3 linked regions of the Callithrix jacchus genome follow. The protein of the gene in region 1 purifies or fractionates together with the protein of each later gene. This does not show direct contact. Links are inferred from orthologs where the notes say so. Each region holds a gene or a part of one and is shown in the gene's direction. Other genes may lie near its edges. The genes, in order: BAG3, PDLIM7 and HSF1.

Evidence for each region.
Region 2: the proteins of BAG3 (region 1) and PDLIM7 purify together in Homo sapiens (affinity purification with mass spectrometry; 3 studies listed by BioGRID and IntAct, counting the BioPlex papers as one, with this or other methods). This does not show direct contact. The link is inferred for Callithrix jacchus from reciprocal best matches to the Homo sapiens genes BAG3 and PDLIM7.
Region 3: the proteins of BAG3 (region 1) and HSF1 purify together in Homo sapiens (affinity purification with mass spectrometry; 3 studies listed by BioGRID and IntAct, with this or other methods). This does not show direct contact. The link is inferred for Callithrix jacchus from reciprocal best matches to the Homo sapiens genes BAG3 and HSF1.

What each region holds. Positions count from the first base shown.
Region 1 is NC_133513.1:113,172,101-113,176,337, reverse strand, and holds the start of BAG3 (BAG family molecular chaperone regulator 3), read left to right. Parts: upstream 1-1,367; 5' UTR 1,368-1,681; coding exon 1,682-1,861; intron 1,862-1,933; exon of another isoform or gene 1,934-4,237. UniProt on the Homo sapiens protein: Co-chaperone and adapter protein that connects different classes of molecular chaperones including heat shock proteins 70 (HSP70s), e.g. HSPA1A/HSP70 or HSPA8/HSC70, and small heat shock proteins (sHSPs), e.g. HSPB8.
Region 2 is NC_133503.1:68,644,038-68,647,640, forward strand, and holds part of PDLIM7 (PDZ and LIM domain protein 7), read left to right. Parts: intron 1-1,295; coding exon 1,296-1,447; intron 1,448-1,534; coding exon 1,535-1,565; intron 1,566-2,014; coding exon 2,015-2,133; intron 2,134-2,531; coding exon 2,532-2,552; intron 2,553-2,798; coding exon 2,799-2,935; intron 2,936-3,011; coding exon of another isoform or gene 3,012-3,037; coding exon 3,038-3,074; intron 3,075-3,341; coding exon of another isoform or gene 3,342-3,438; exon of another isoform or gene 3,439-3,603. UniProt on the Homo sapiens protein: May function as a scaffold on which the coordinated assembly of proteins can occur. May play a role as an adapter that, via its PDZ domain, localizes LIM-binding proteins to actin filaments of both skeletal muscle and nonmuscle tissues.
Region 3 is NC_133517.1:53,316,880-53,320,482, reverse strand, and holds part of HSF1 (heat shock factor protein 1), read left to right. Parts: intron 1-436; coding exon 437-512; intron 513-583; coding exon 584-645; intron 646-771; coding exon 772-868; intron 869-965; coding exon 966-1,102; intron 1,103-1,230; coding exon 1,231-1,512; intron 1,513-1,789; coding exon 1,790-1,873; intron 1,874-2,653; coding exon 2,654-2,903; intron 2,904-2,976; coding exon 2,977-3,046; intron 3,047-3,116; coding exon 3,117-3,322; 3' UTR 3,323-3,603. UniProt on the Homo sapiens protein: Functions as a stress-inducible and DNA-binding transcription factor that plays a central role in the transcriptional activation of the heat shock response (HSR), leading to the expression of a large class of molecular chaperones, heat shock proteins (HSPs), that protect cells from cellular insult damage.

The sequences.
Region 1 (4,237 bases):
AGTATGTAACCTGATGTTAACCAATCATTTCTCTCTCTCTCTCTCCCTCTCTCTCTCTCTTTTTAAGAGACAGGGTCCTGCTCTGTCGCTTAGGCTGGCATCAGGAGCACAATCATAGCCCATGGCAGCTTCAAACTCCTGGTCTCAAGTGAGCCTCCCACCTCAGCCTCCTGAGTAGCTGAGACTACAGGCATAAGCCACTGCACCTGCCTTATTTTTTTATTTTGTAGAGGTGTAGGTCTCACTGTGTTGTCCAGGCTGGTCAAACCCCTGGACTCAAGAGGTCCTCCAGTCTTGGCCTTCCAAAGTACTGGGATTACAGGCATGAGCCACAGTGCCAAGCCCTCATCCGTTATTTTTCTGTGATTCTCTCTGTCCCCTCCTTACGAGGAAAGTAATTTTAAAACAACCAATTCAGCCTTGGTTCTTTGTTTCTGTTTTCTTCAGCCCTTCTCTGTCTATAAAACCAACCTCTTCTGCTCGGCTTTTAGGAACACTTATTCTAATTTAATGGAGGTGTTGCCCAATTCTAGAATCACAAAATCAGTTAAGATCTTTAAACTAACAATAAAAGTTAACAAATAAAAACAAACAAAAAGATCTTTAAATTAAAAATGTTGTCATTTTCTCCTTTGGCAGGTTACAAGTGCAACCTCCATTCAATGAACCAAGCGAAAAAATGTCACGGTTAGGTTAGGTCTTTACTTCCCAAATGAGGGTCAAGATGTAGGATAGCAAGAACCAACCTCTACTATAAAAAAGATCCAAACCCAAGAGAATGTGATTTTTCTGTAAAGCTGTTTACTACAACGAAACTTTCTTTTTAGTCTGGGAGACTAAAAACCATCAGCTGACACAATCTTTTTTTCCTTGAAGTTTCCAAAGAAAGGCAAGTGAGTTTGCACTGACTTCCATTTTCTCCCTGCCTTCCTGCTAGTGTCAGATGAGCGTCCCCGCGCTCCTCCCAGGCAGCCCTCAGTGTCCCGGGCTGTCATATATGGGGGAGGGGATGGGGTGGGTGAGATGGCTTTGTTTGTACAGAAAGGAGGGGCGGCAGGCACGGGGAGGACCGGCTCCGGCCCAGGGAAAACTCACTAGGCGCTAAGGAGAGGGAGGGAGGGAGTGTGAAAGCCGAAACCCGCCCAGGGCGCACGGAGGACGACCCCAACTCAGTGCGTCCGGCGTCCCATCCGCAGTCAGGCCCCGAAGGCGCGCCCGCGGCCACTCCGGCCGGGGCACGCGCACTAGGAGGCTCGGGGAGGGGCGGAGGGAGGCGGGGGAGGGCGGGGAGGTCGGGGACGAACGAGAGGGCCGAGGCCCCGCCCCCGCCCGCCGCGATTATAGCCGATGACTCAGGGCGGAGCTCCGCATCCAACCCCGGGCCGCGGCCAACTTCTCTGGACGGGACTAGAAGTTTCTAGCCGGCCAGTTGCTACCTCCCTTTATCTCCTCCTTCTCCTCTAGCAGCGAGGAGGCTATTTCCAGACACTTCCACCCCTCTCAGGCCACGTCACCCCCGCCTTTAATTCATAAAGGTGCCCGGCGCCGGCTTCCCGGACACGTCGGCGGCGGAGAGGGGCCCGCGGCGGCGGCCAGGCCAGAGACTCGGCGCCCGGAGCCCGCGTTCCGCACCCGCGCCCCGGCGGCCCCCGCTCCGGGCCGACCCCAACCCCTACCCAGCATGAGCGCCGCCACCCACTCGCCCATGATGCAGGTGGCGTCCGGCAACGGTGACCGCGACCCCCTGCCCCCCGGCTGGGAGATCAAGATCGACCCGCAGACCGGCTGGCCCTTCTTCGTGGACCACAACAGCCGCACCACGACGTGGAACGACCCGCGCGTGCCCCCCGAGGGCCCCAAGGTGAGCCGGGCCCGCGGCCCGCCCTGGTCGATGGCGCCACCTCGACGGCGGGCGGCGGGAAGGGGGCCGGGCGGGTGGGACGCGAGAAGCGGGGCCCGGGGGTCGGCGAAGGCCCCTCTCAGGCGGACACCGGCTCCGCGCCCAGCCACACATTCCCGCGGCTCCCGGACGAGTCCCTGCTCCCGACCCGCCCTTGACAGGCGTCCGGGCCAAAGGAGGCCCCGGGATCCGGTGGCCCGGGAACCGTCCCCGCAGTGGCCCCTGTGCCGTCCGCGGCTCGACTCCAGGACGGAGGGCCGGGTGTCCGGCGCTGGCCTAGCCCTCCCGAGCTTGGAGGAGGGCAGCCGGCTTGGTCGGCTCCGGAGGCCGCAGTCCCTGCTGCCCGCTTGGCCTCCGGGCCCGGGACCCGCGGCGCACCCCGCTGTCCACGAACGCGAGGGAGACACAAGCTTGGATGGTGGTTTTGGGGGATTTTTACCTCTCAAGTTCCCTAACTTGGTTGAGGGATGTCTTCACTACTGTCCCATCTGAGGCACCCAATGACTCAGGAAGCTGGTGTCAAAACATTTATGCCTGTGTGTGTGTGTGTGTGTCAAATTAAAATTGTATTATTGTTTGAAAGTGCTTTGGATCTGTATGTATCCTATTATCACTTGTAAAATTAAAAACGGGGTGCATTTCTCCCCAGCAGTTTCTAAACTAGACGGGAGACTGTCTTACAGTTGGCCATTGCATTACCACATTGCCTCACCCTGGAGAGAAAGAGAACGATAATGTGTATGTTTATAATGGCATTCGCTTCCTGCCTTGTTATGGTATTAAAATACTTAGGATTTGTTACCAGTACACAAATAACTGAGTAATGATACTCTTGTGAATATAGCAGAAGTATGTCTCATTTACATATATGCAAGGATATATACTTTTTAATCCCCAAGAGCATGAAATTTGAAAACATAAGTTTGGAATGAGTCTGTTAATTTTCAAAAATCATACTTATACTATTCTTTCCATTTTCTGTAAATTTGAGCTTTCAAAATAAAAAGGTTTTAAAAATAATTATGTTATACTTAAAACGTAATTGTGACTGCTGTCTGGGCAAGATAGAAGCAGCAAAAGAGGTGATAAATTATTTTGAAGATTTAAAAACTCAGCAAATTAAAAATGCTTTGTATCTCATGATTTTAGAAGAAAGACCCATATTATTTCCCTTCATTTTTATACACGTTCTGTTTTAACAATATTGACAAAACTCTGGTTCCCAACAGTGAGATGGTGTACAGTCAGCAGTTTACATTTACGAGAGATTAATTGTATATTTATTCTTGAAAATTAATATAAGAGGCTGTAATTAGCTGGGATGGGCACAGTTAAATATACCTTTTTGGGTGTCCAACCCATTTTTGGGTGAAACTGACGCTCATTTCAAACCCCCTTTCTTAGCAGTCTGCGTGGATGTACATGATCTTTAGTGTGGTTTACAACTATTATTTTGAGGGCTTCTTCCTGTAGACATAGGGACAGTAGCATTTGCTGGCAGCCTTTGTTATGAGTGAAGATTAAGTTTGAATGTAAACATTGTCAGTACTTTGTTCTCAGCATGAAACTTACCCAGCAAGTTGAGATCTTCCTGTACCCACCTGGTGCCTGGGTTAGGCTGTGGTTTCCTAAACCTTAAAAGGAAAAAAGCAGGTTTAGTTACCATTATTCTTCTCAACAAATAGAAAGTAAGAACTACTAAATCAGAAGTCTGATGCTGGAAAGGTTTATTTGAAAATTTCACAGTGAAAATGTTAAAGTTGAAAGGTCCTTGAAGATCTTTTAGGTAGGCTTCTTTATTTTCTGAAAAAACCTGGAGAGTTCAGGTGTGATTTTTGAAGGTCACCCAGCTAGTACCGATAGCAGGGAGAGTACTGATGTCAGGAGAGTCCTCATAAGAGGCAGTGTGTCTGTTCAGAAGGTGGAAGTGAATGTTTTGTGAAACCGTGAAGCATGCAGGCTAAAATACTTGATTACCTTTGTGCCCTCCTGGCCACCAAGTTATTGGGTCACTGACCTCTGTGCTGTGATTGCTTGGATTTTGATGATGGGACATGATCAACTCAAGAAGAGAATTCTCGGGCTGGAGGCAGTGGCTCACGCCTATAATCCCAGCACTTTGGGAGGCCGAGGCGGGTGGATCACGAGGTCAAGAGATCAAGACCATCCTGGTCAACATGGTGAAACCCCGTCTCTACTAAAAATACAAAAATTAGCTGGGCATGGTGGCGTGTGCCTGTAGTCCCAGCTACTCGGGAGGCTGAGGCAGGAGAATTGCTTGAGCCCAGAAGGGGGAGGTTGCGGTGAGCCGGGATTGCGCCATTGCACTCCAGCCTG
Region 2 (3,603 bases), on another chromosome or scaffold:
CCCTCTGTGCTTCCTGCCCTTTTCTGGAAAGGGAAGCCGTCCCCATCCCCCACCCTCTCTCCGGGAGCCAGCTGCTCCTGTGCACCCCAAGACCCCCACCTCGGACTCAGCCCACACCTCCCAGGAGCCAGCCCTTGTGGGCAGGTAGTGGCTGGGCCAGGTTTCCCTTGTACTGACTCACCATGGCCTTGAGTAAGTCATTTCCCCTCTGGGGTGTCACTTCCCCACGCACAGTTTAAAGGGTTGATTTAGTTGGCTTGAATTAAATGTGAGGGGGAAGCTCAGGGCGTCTCGAGGTGGGCTGACCCCTCAGTTGGGCCCCCATGCTCAGCAAAGGTGGCCTGCAGTGGTGGAGTCTTAGGGTCAGGGTCACTTCCTGGCCCTGCCTCTTGCTGGGTGACTTGAGTCAAGTTGTTTAACCTCTCTGTGTACACTTTCAAGTGCAAAATGGGTAAAATCTCAGATTACTCCACAGGGTTGTTGGAAGATGCAGCAATGTGTAGCATACTTGGTGCTCAGTAAACTGAAGGAGGTGTTCTTATTTAGCGAGTGAGGAAGGGGCCACCGAGCTCTCTTAGCTTCCCTGAAGTCATTCCTGATGGTCTTAGTTCATGCTGGTGGCAGCCATTTCTCGCAGCCTATTGTCACCCCTTGTTGCCACTGGAACCAGGGACTCCCAGCTCAGAGCCTGAAGGATTGGAGTCAGGGGAGTTGGCAGTTGAAGGCTTGGGAGTGACACTCATGTATGGCCTATGAAGCCCCAGCTGTCACCTTAGGCCCCATTCAGGCAGTGTTCATGGGGAACCTGGAGATAACAGGGCCTGTTCCTGGCTCTCAAAGTGTCCCAGCGGACCCCTGCAGATGGCCCCCAGATAGGGTGCTGGAGGGTAAGAGATCCATAAGAGCCCCCAGCGGTAGCAGGGAAGAAGCTGCCCCTTGCATGGGCCAGAGGGCATATCTGGTAGTATAGCAGCCCTGGGCAGGCAGCCAGCAGGTGCTTCAAAAGGCAGGTGGTCCTCCTGAAACACATGGGCCTGAGCATGGCTGTTTGTGGGTATCATAGAATTTCTGGACTGTGGGGTAGGGTCGTGGTGCAGAGTAAATAAATCAGCAGTGTGATGGGAAATTGTGAAGCTCAGGTGAGCGCCACCACCTCCTGGTTGCTTTAGTGTCCAGCAGCTGCCTAGAACTATGTTGAATGAAGAGCTCTCTGGCCTCTAGAAGTGGGGCAGCATTACCACCTGGCTTGGGTCTGCAGAGTCTAAGGACCTCGGTCACTGTGCTTTTCTCTGTAGCTCACTCCTGGAGGCAAAGCAGCACAGGCTGGAGTGGCCGTTGGTGACTGGGTGCTGAGCATCGATGGCGAGAATGCAGGGAGCCTCACACACATCGAAGCTCAGAACAAGATCCGGGCCTGTGGGGAACGCCTCAGCCTGGGCCTCAGCAGGTATGCGCGTTGGTGTGGATGGGTGCACAGTCGCTAGCAATGGGGATTCTCATGGGCCCACGCTGTCACACTTTCCTTTTCCTTCAGGGCCCAACCGGTTCAGAGCAAACCCCAGAAGGTACGAGGCGGGCCGGGACATCTGGGCAGCGGGCGGGTTGGGCTTGGACAGCCAGACCTGCTCGCCCTCCTGGCACAGCCTCGGTACCCCAATCCCTGGTCAGAAGTAGAGGGCAGAAACTGGAGCTAGGGTGGGTCTAGGGCCCTGGAGTTGAGCCAGGGGCTGCCGCACGGTCTGGGCACCACGCATGTTTGCCTGTCTGTCCGCCTGCCTGCCTCCCGCCGCCGGTGCTGCGTGTTCGCCCGCACTTGGTCAGCCCTCGGTCCTGCGTGGACTGAAATCACCACTCCTGAATGGGCCCCTTGAAACCTGAGTTGTCGTCTCCCCCTAGTCTCCTGCAAGATGTGGGGGGTGTGGGGGGCTGGAGCTGCCACTGTCTTCTGGTGCGGGCGCCCCACTCCCACCCAAGTCCCTGCCCGCCTGCCCTGCCCGGCTCTGTCTCTGCTCAGGCCCCGGCCCCTGCCGCGGACCCCCCGCGGTACACCTTTGCACCCAGCGTCTCCCTCAACAAGACGGCCCGGCCCTTCGGGGCGCCCCCGCCCGCTGACAACGCCCCGCAGCAGAATGGGTATGTCAGCCCCGGCCCGCCCGTGCCCGTGCCCATGCCATCAGGCCCCTTGTGGCCCCACGCCCTTTGCCCGCTGCCCGCTGCTGCTCAGTCTGTGCTGTGCCCCAGCCCGGCGGAACCGTGCGGCAGCAACCCCTGGCGGCCGGGGTGGGACTGCAGGCACAGGGCCCCTCCCAAGGCTGTGGCACCCTGCAGGGCACTGCCCTGGGGAGGGGTCTCTGAATGAGGTCGCACCCCCTGCTGGCGGCTTGGGGTTGGGTCATGGTGTTGGGCCAGTTGAGCCCTAGACACTCAGTGCTGCCTGGTCCCCGGCTGCCCTGACCCCTCCCCATCTTTCTTCCTCTCCTGTGTCTGTCCCTTTGTCCCTTTATCTCTCTATCTGTCTATTTCCTTCACAGGTGCAGACCCCTGACAAGTCAGTGAGCCCCCTCTGCCTGTCCCTCTCTTCTTCCTTTTGGCACTCTGGGCGGTGGCCCCTCCCCACCCTGGCTGCCCTCCTCTCCACTTTGCCCTCCTGTCCTCTCATCCACCCGCCTAGCAGGGCTTCTGGCCTTGCCCTTACCCACTCCCTCCCATCACTGTAACCCACATGCACCAAATCCTGGGAGGGGCTGCCCCCACTGCCCACCCCCAGCATGGGGTTCTGAGCCGCACCCTCCCCACAGACAGCCGCTCCGACCGCTGGTCCCAGATGCCAGCAAGCAGCGGCTGATGGAGAACACCGAGGACTGGCGGCCACGGCCTGGGACAGGCCAGTCGCGTTCCTTCCGCATCCTTGCCCACCTCACAGGCACCGAGTTCAGTAAGTGCCAGCCTAGGCAGGGTGGACTCTCCTGGCCTCCAGCCCAGGCGTGAACCCTGACCTTCTGTCTCTCTTGGTCAATGCCTGTCTCTGCCCTCTCAGTGCAAGACCCGGATGAGGAGCACCTGAAGAAATCAAGGTACAAGAATGGGCACTAGCCCTTCTCCCACCTCCTGCCTCTTCCATTCCAGCTACTGCCCTATGTCTACTCCTGAGGCTCCCAGCTGGGGCTTTCCATTCTCCTTCCTTCCTTCGCTCCCTCCTCCTCCTCTTCCTTCTTTCCTTCCTTCTTTCCTCCCTTCCCTTGCTCCTTCCTTCCCTCATTCCTTCCTACCCTCCTCCCTCCCTATGTCCCTTCCATCTCTCCTTCCTTCCACTTCTTCCTCCTTCTCTCTCTGCCCCTCAGGGAAAAGTATGTCCTGGAGCTGCAGAGCCCACGCTACACCCGCCTCCGAGACTGGCACCACCAGCGCTCTGCCCACGCGCTCAACGTGCAGTCGTAGCCCGGCCCTCTCCAGCCGGCTGCCCTCTCTGCCTCCCTCTTTCTGTTCCTCCTGCCCAGGGCACCCCCTTAGTGTCTCCAGCTTCTGCCTACCTCACCCCCGCTTCCTGCCCCTGGCCTGAGTCTCCTGCTGGCCTGGCTCTGGCCACCCACCTGGTGCAGAGCC
Region 3 (3,603 bases), on another chromosome or scaffold:
CCGTGGGGCCACCTCTGAGCCACTCCTAGGCCTGTCAAGGGTCCTGAGCATCTGCAGGACACAGGACAGCTGGTGGTGCAGCCTGATGAACCATCCTCCCCAAACTTTGCTTCTCAGGCCTCGTAGGGGAGGCTCAAGGGTCTGTCTGCCCTTAAGGCATCCCTCCAGATGTTGTCCAGGATGGATGCCAGGATCCAGGTGCACCTGGCTCGCTCTGTCCTCAACCACCCTACCTGACACCAGCTGTCCCCAGCAGGGAGGGGCAGTGGGACCAGCAAGCTCTGGCCTGTCCCCTAGCCCTTCCACACAGCAGTTCTCATACTGGACTGGGCCAGGCCAGACATGGTCACACTCACCCCTGCTCCCACCTGGGAGACGGGAGGGTCTGTGGGGCTCCTGGAATTGGGCCCCACTGACCCAGCCTGGTCTGTTGCAGTGAGAATGAGGCTCTGTGGCGGGAGGTGGCCAGCCTTCGGCAGAAGCATGCCCAGCAGCAGAAAGTCGTCAACAAGGTGGGGGCAGGGCCAGAGGGCCAGCGGGGGCCCCACAAGTGCCGAGGTGACTGTGTCCTCTCTCCCCACAGCTCATTCAGTTCCTCATCTCGCTGGTGCAGTCAAACCGGATCCTGGGGGTGAAGAGAAAGATGTGAGGTTCTGGGGACACCTGCATCCGCCACACGGGGCACGGGGCCCAGGGCCATCCCCCTCCTCTGTCAGCTCTGCCCTGGGTGCCCAAGACAGGGAGGCAGCTGACCTGCACCCTTTCCCGCAGCCCCCTGATGCTGAACGACAGCGGCTCGGCACATTCCATGCCCAAGTATGGCCGGCAGTTCTCCTTGGAGCACGTCCATGGCACGGGCCCCTACTCGGTGAGCCCCGGGGACAGGGCTCCCATCCAGGCATGTGGACAGTGATGGGGGGGTCACCCCAGCCCGAGTTTCATGGGCCTCCTGCCTTTGATTGCAGGCCCCATCCCCGGCCTACAGCAGCTCCAGCCTCTACGCCCCCGATGCTGTGGCCAGCTCTGGACCCATCATCTCCGACATCACTGAGCTGGCTCCTGCCAGCCCCGTGGCCTCCCCCGGCGGGAGCATAGATGAGAGGTGGGGGCCACATCACCCCAGCCCTCCTGTTCCCCCAACGAGGCGAGCCCTTTTGGGCCCAGGGCAGAGTTGGGGGTGAGGTAGGGCCGCCCAAGACGCCAGCTAATGTGGCCCCGCCTGGTGTCCAGGCCCCTGTCCAGCAGCCCCCTGGTGCGTGTCAAGGAGGAGCCCCCCAGCCCGCCTCAGAGCCCCCGGGTAGAGGAGGCGAGTCCCGGGAACCCATCTTCTGTGGACACCCTCTTGTCCCCGACCGCCCTCATTGACTCCATCCTGCGGGAGAGTGAGCCTGCCCCCGCCTCCGCCACAGCCCTCACGGACGCCAGGGGCCACACGGACACCGAGGGCCGACCCCCCTCACCCCCGCCCACCTCCACACCTGAAAAGTGCCTCAGTGTAGCCTGCCTGGACAAGTGAGTGCTGCCCCAACCTCAGCTCGGGGTGGGAGGGAGACAGGTGCCAACCAGATCACCCCATAGCAGCCGAGGGTGTGGCAGGACAGGCTGCTGGGCCCTGCTCTTGGCCACCCCTCCTGCTGCCGCCACCCTCTCGCCACAGGCCACGGGTCCCAGCATCAGTCGTGCCACCCAGACCAACAGCAGGAGACGGTGAGCGGGGCCCAGCCTCGACACCCCCAGGCCCTGCCCAGCCCCTGCCTGCAATGGGGACTCTTGTTTTTGTATCTTGCAGTTTGGCTCGAACTCCACAGATGTCTGGGGTCACCCGCCTCTTCCCCTGCCCCTCTTCCTCTCCACGTGGCCGAGTCCAGCCAGGGTTAGCGCTGACCCCACTTGGGAGGGAGGAGGGCCCTGCCACAGCTTGGGCCCTCCCACACAGCTGTGGACCACACCCAGCCTGGCCGGGCATGAGCACTGGGCCTGGGCAATAGCATTCTGGGCCCCTCCGTGATGGGGGCTCAATGTCATCCTGCCTCCCCTGGCCACAGGCCTGTGGTCATTGCCTGTGACAAGGACAGGCTTCCCTGGTCTGGCACGGCCTCTGGTGCTGGCAGGATCCAGGCTGCGGCACTGACTGCACTTACTGTCAGGAGTGGTCTCTGGGGCACCTCCAGGATCCAGCCTGGCTGCCTGTCCAATGGCTCAGGTGTGCCCCATTGCCTTGGGCTCTCTTGGTCACCGCCACCAGACCGTGGGTCTTATCCCCACAGCAGCATTGGGGCACCGGCTGAGCCACCCACCGGCTGAGCCACCCACACGCTGAGCACAGCCCCAGCCGTTTTCCAAACACATCGGGAAACCTCAGCAACCCTGAAAACTGAAACCCCGACCCTCATGCTGGAGCTGAATACACCTCTTCTCTCCTGCTGCCACCAAGGCCTCCAGGCCCTCATGGTGACGGGATGCCCCCCATGGGTCCAGCCACACCCATGCAGGGCACAGAGCCCCCCACCGCCTTCCAGGCCATCTTCCAGCCTGTGCAGGCCTACACGGGGGCATTGCCTGGGGGACACAGCCAAGGGGAGCCCTTCTGCAGGAGGGCATCAGGGTGCAGGGCCTGGGGCACTTTTTCATCCACCCTGTCATTCCGGGCCAGGAATGAGCTCAGTGATCACTTGGATGCTATGGACTCCAACCTGGACAACCTGCAGACCATGCTGAGCAGCCACGGCTTCAGTGTGGACACCAGCGCCCTGCTGGACGTGAGTCAAGCCCCACCCCGCCCCACCCCGCCCCATCCCGCCCCAGGTGCAGTGCTGACTTCCCTCGATCCTCTGCAGCTGTTCAGCCCCTCGGTGACTGTGCCCGACATGAGCCTGCCTGACCTTGACAGCAGCCTGGCCAGTGTGCGTAGGTGGGTGGGGGGGTGGGGGGGAATGAGACAGGCAGGAATACTCACTGTACCCCTCCACACCACAGATCCAGGAGCTCCTATCTCCCCAGGAGCCCCCCAGGCCTCCTGAGGCAGAGAACAGCAGCCCGGATTCAGGTGAGCCAGATCCCCTCAGCCTCCCTCTCTGCCCCGACCCCCACAGCCTTGACACCCCCCATCCCCACAGGGAAGCAGCTGGTGCACTACACGGCACAGCCCCTGTTCCTGCTGGACCCTGGCTCCGTGGACACCGGGAGCAGCGACCTGCCCGTGCTGTTTGAGCTGGGAGAGGGCTCCTACTTCTCCGAAGGGGACAGCTTTGCAGAGGACCCCACCATCTCCCTGCTGACGGGCTCAGAGCCTCCCAAAGCCAAGGACCCCACTATCTCCTAGATGACTGGGAGGAGCCGGGCCAGCCATGGCCTGCCCACCCCCACCCCCAGTGCAGGGCTGGTCCTGGGGAGGCAGGGCAGGCTCATGGTCCTGGGCACTGGTGGGTTGGCCACCACAGCCCCAGCAGGATACACAGAGGGGCTTGGGCCTGGGCAGCACCTCTGGTCAGGAGAGTCGCCCACCTGCCAGTCTGCCTTCACCCAACCTCGTGTCCTGTGGTTTGGTTAGGGCTTCACAGCCACACCTGGACTGACCCTGCAGGTTGTTCATAGTCAGAATTG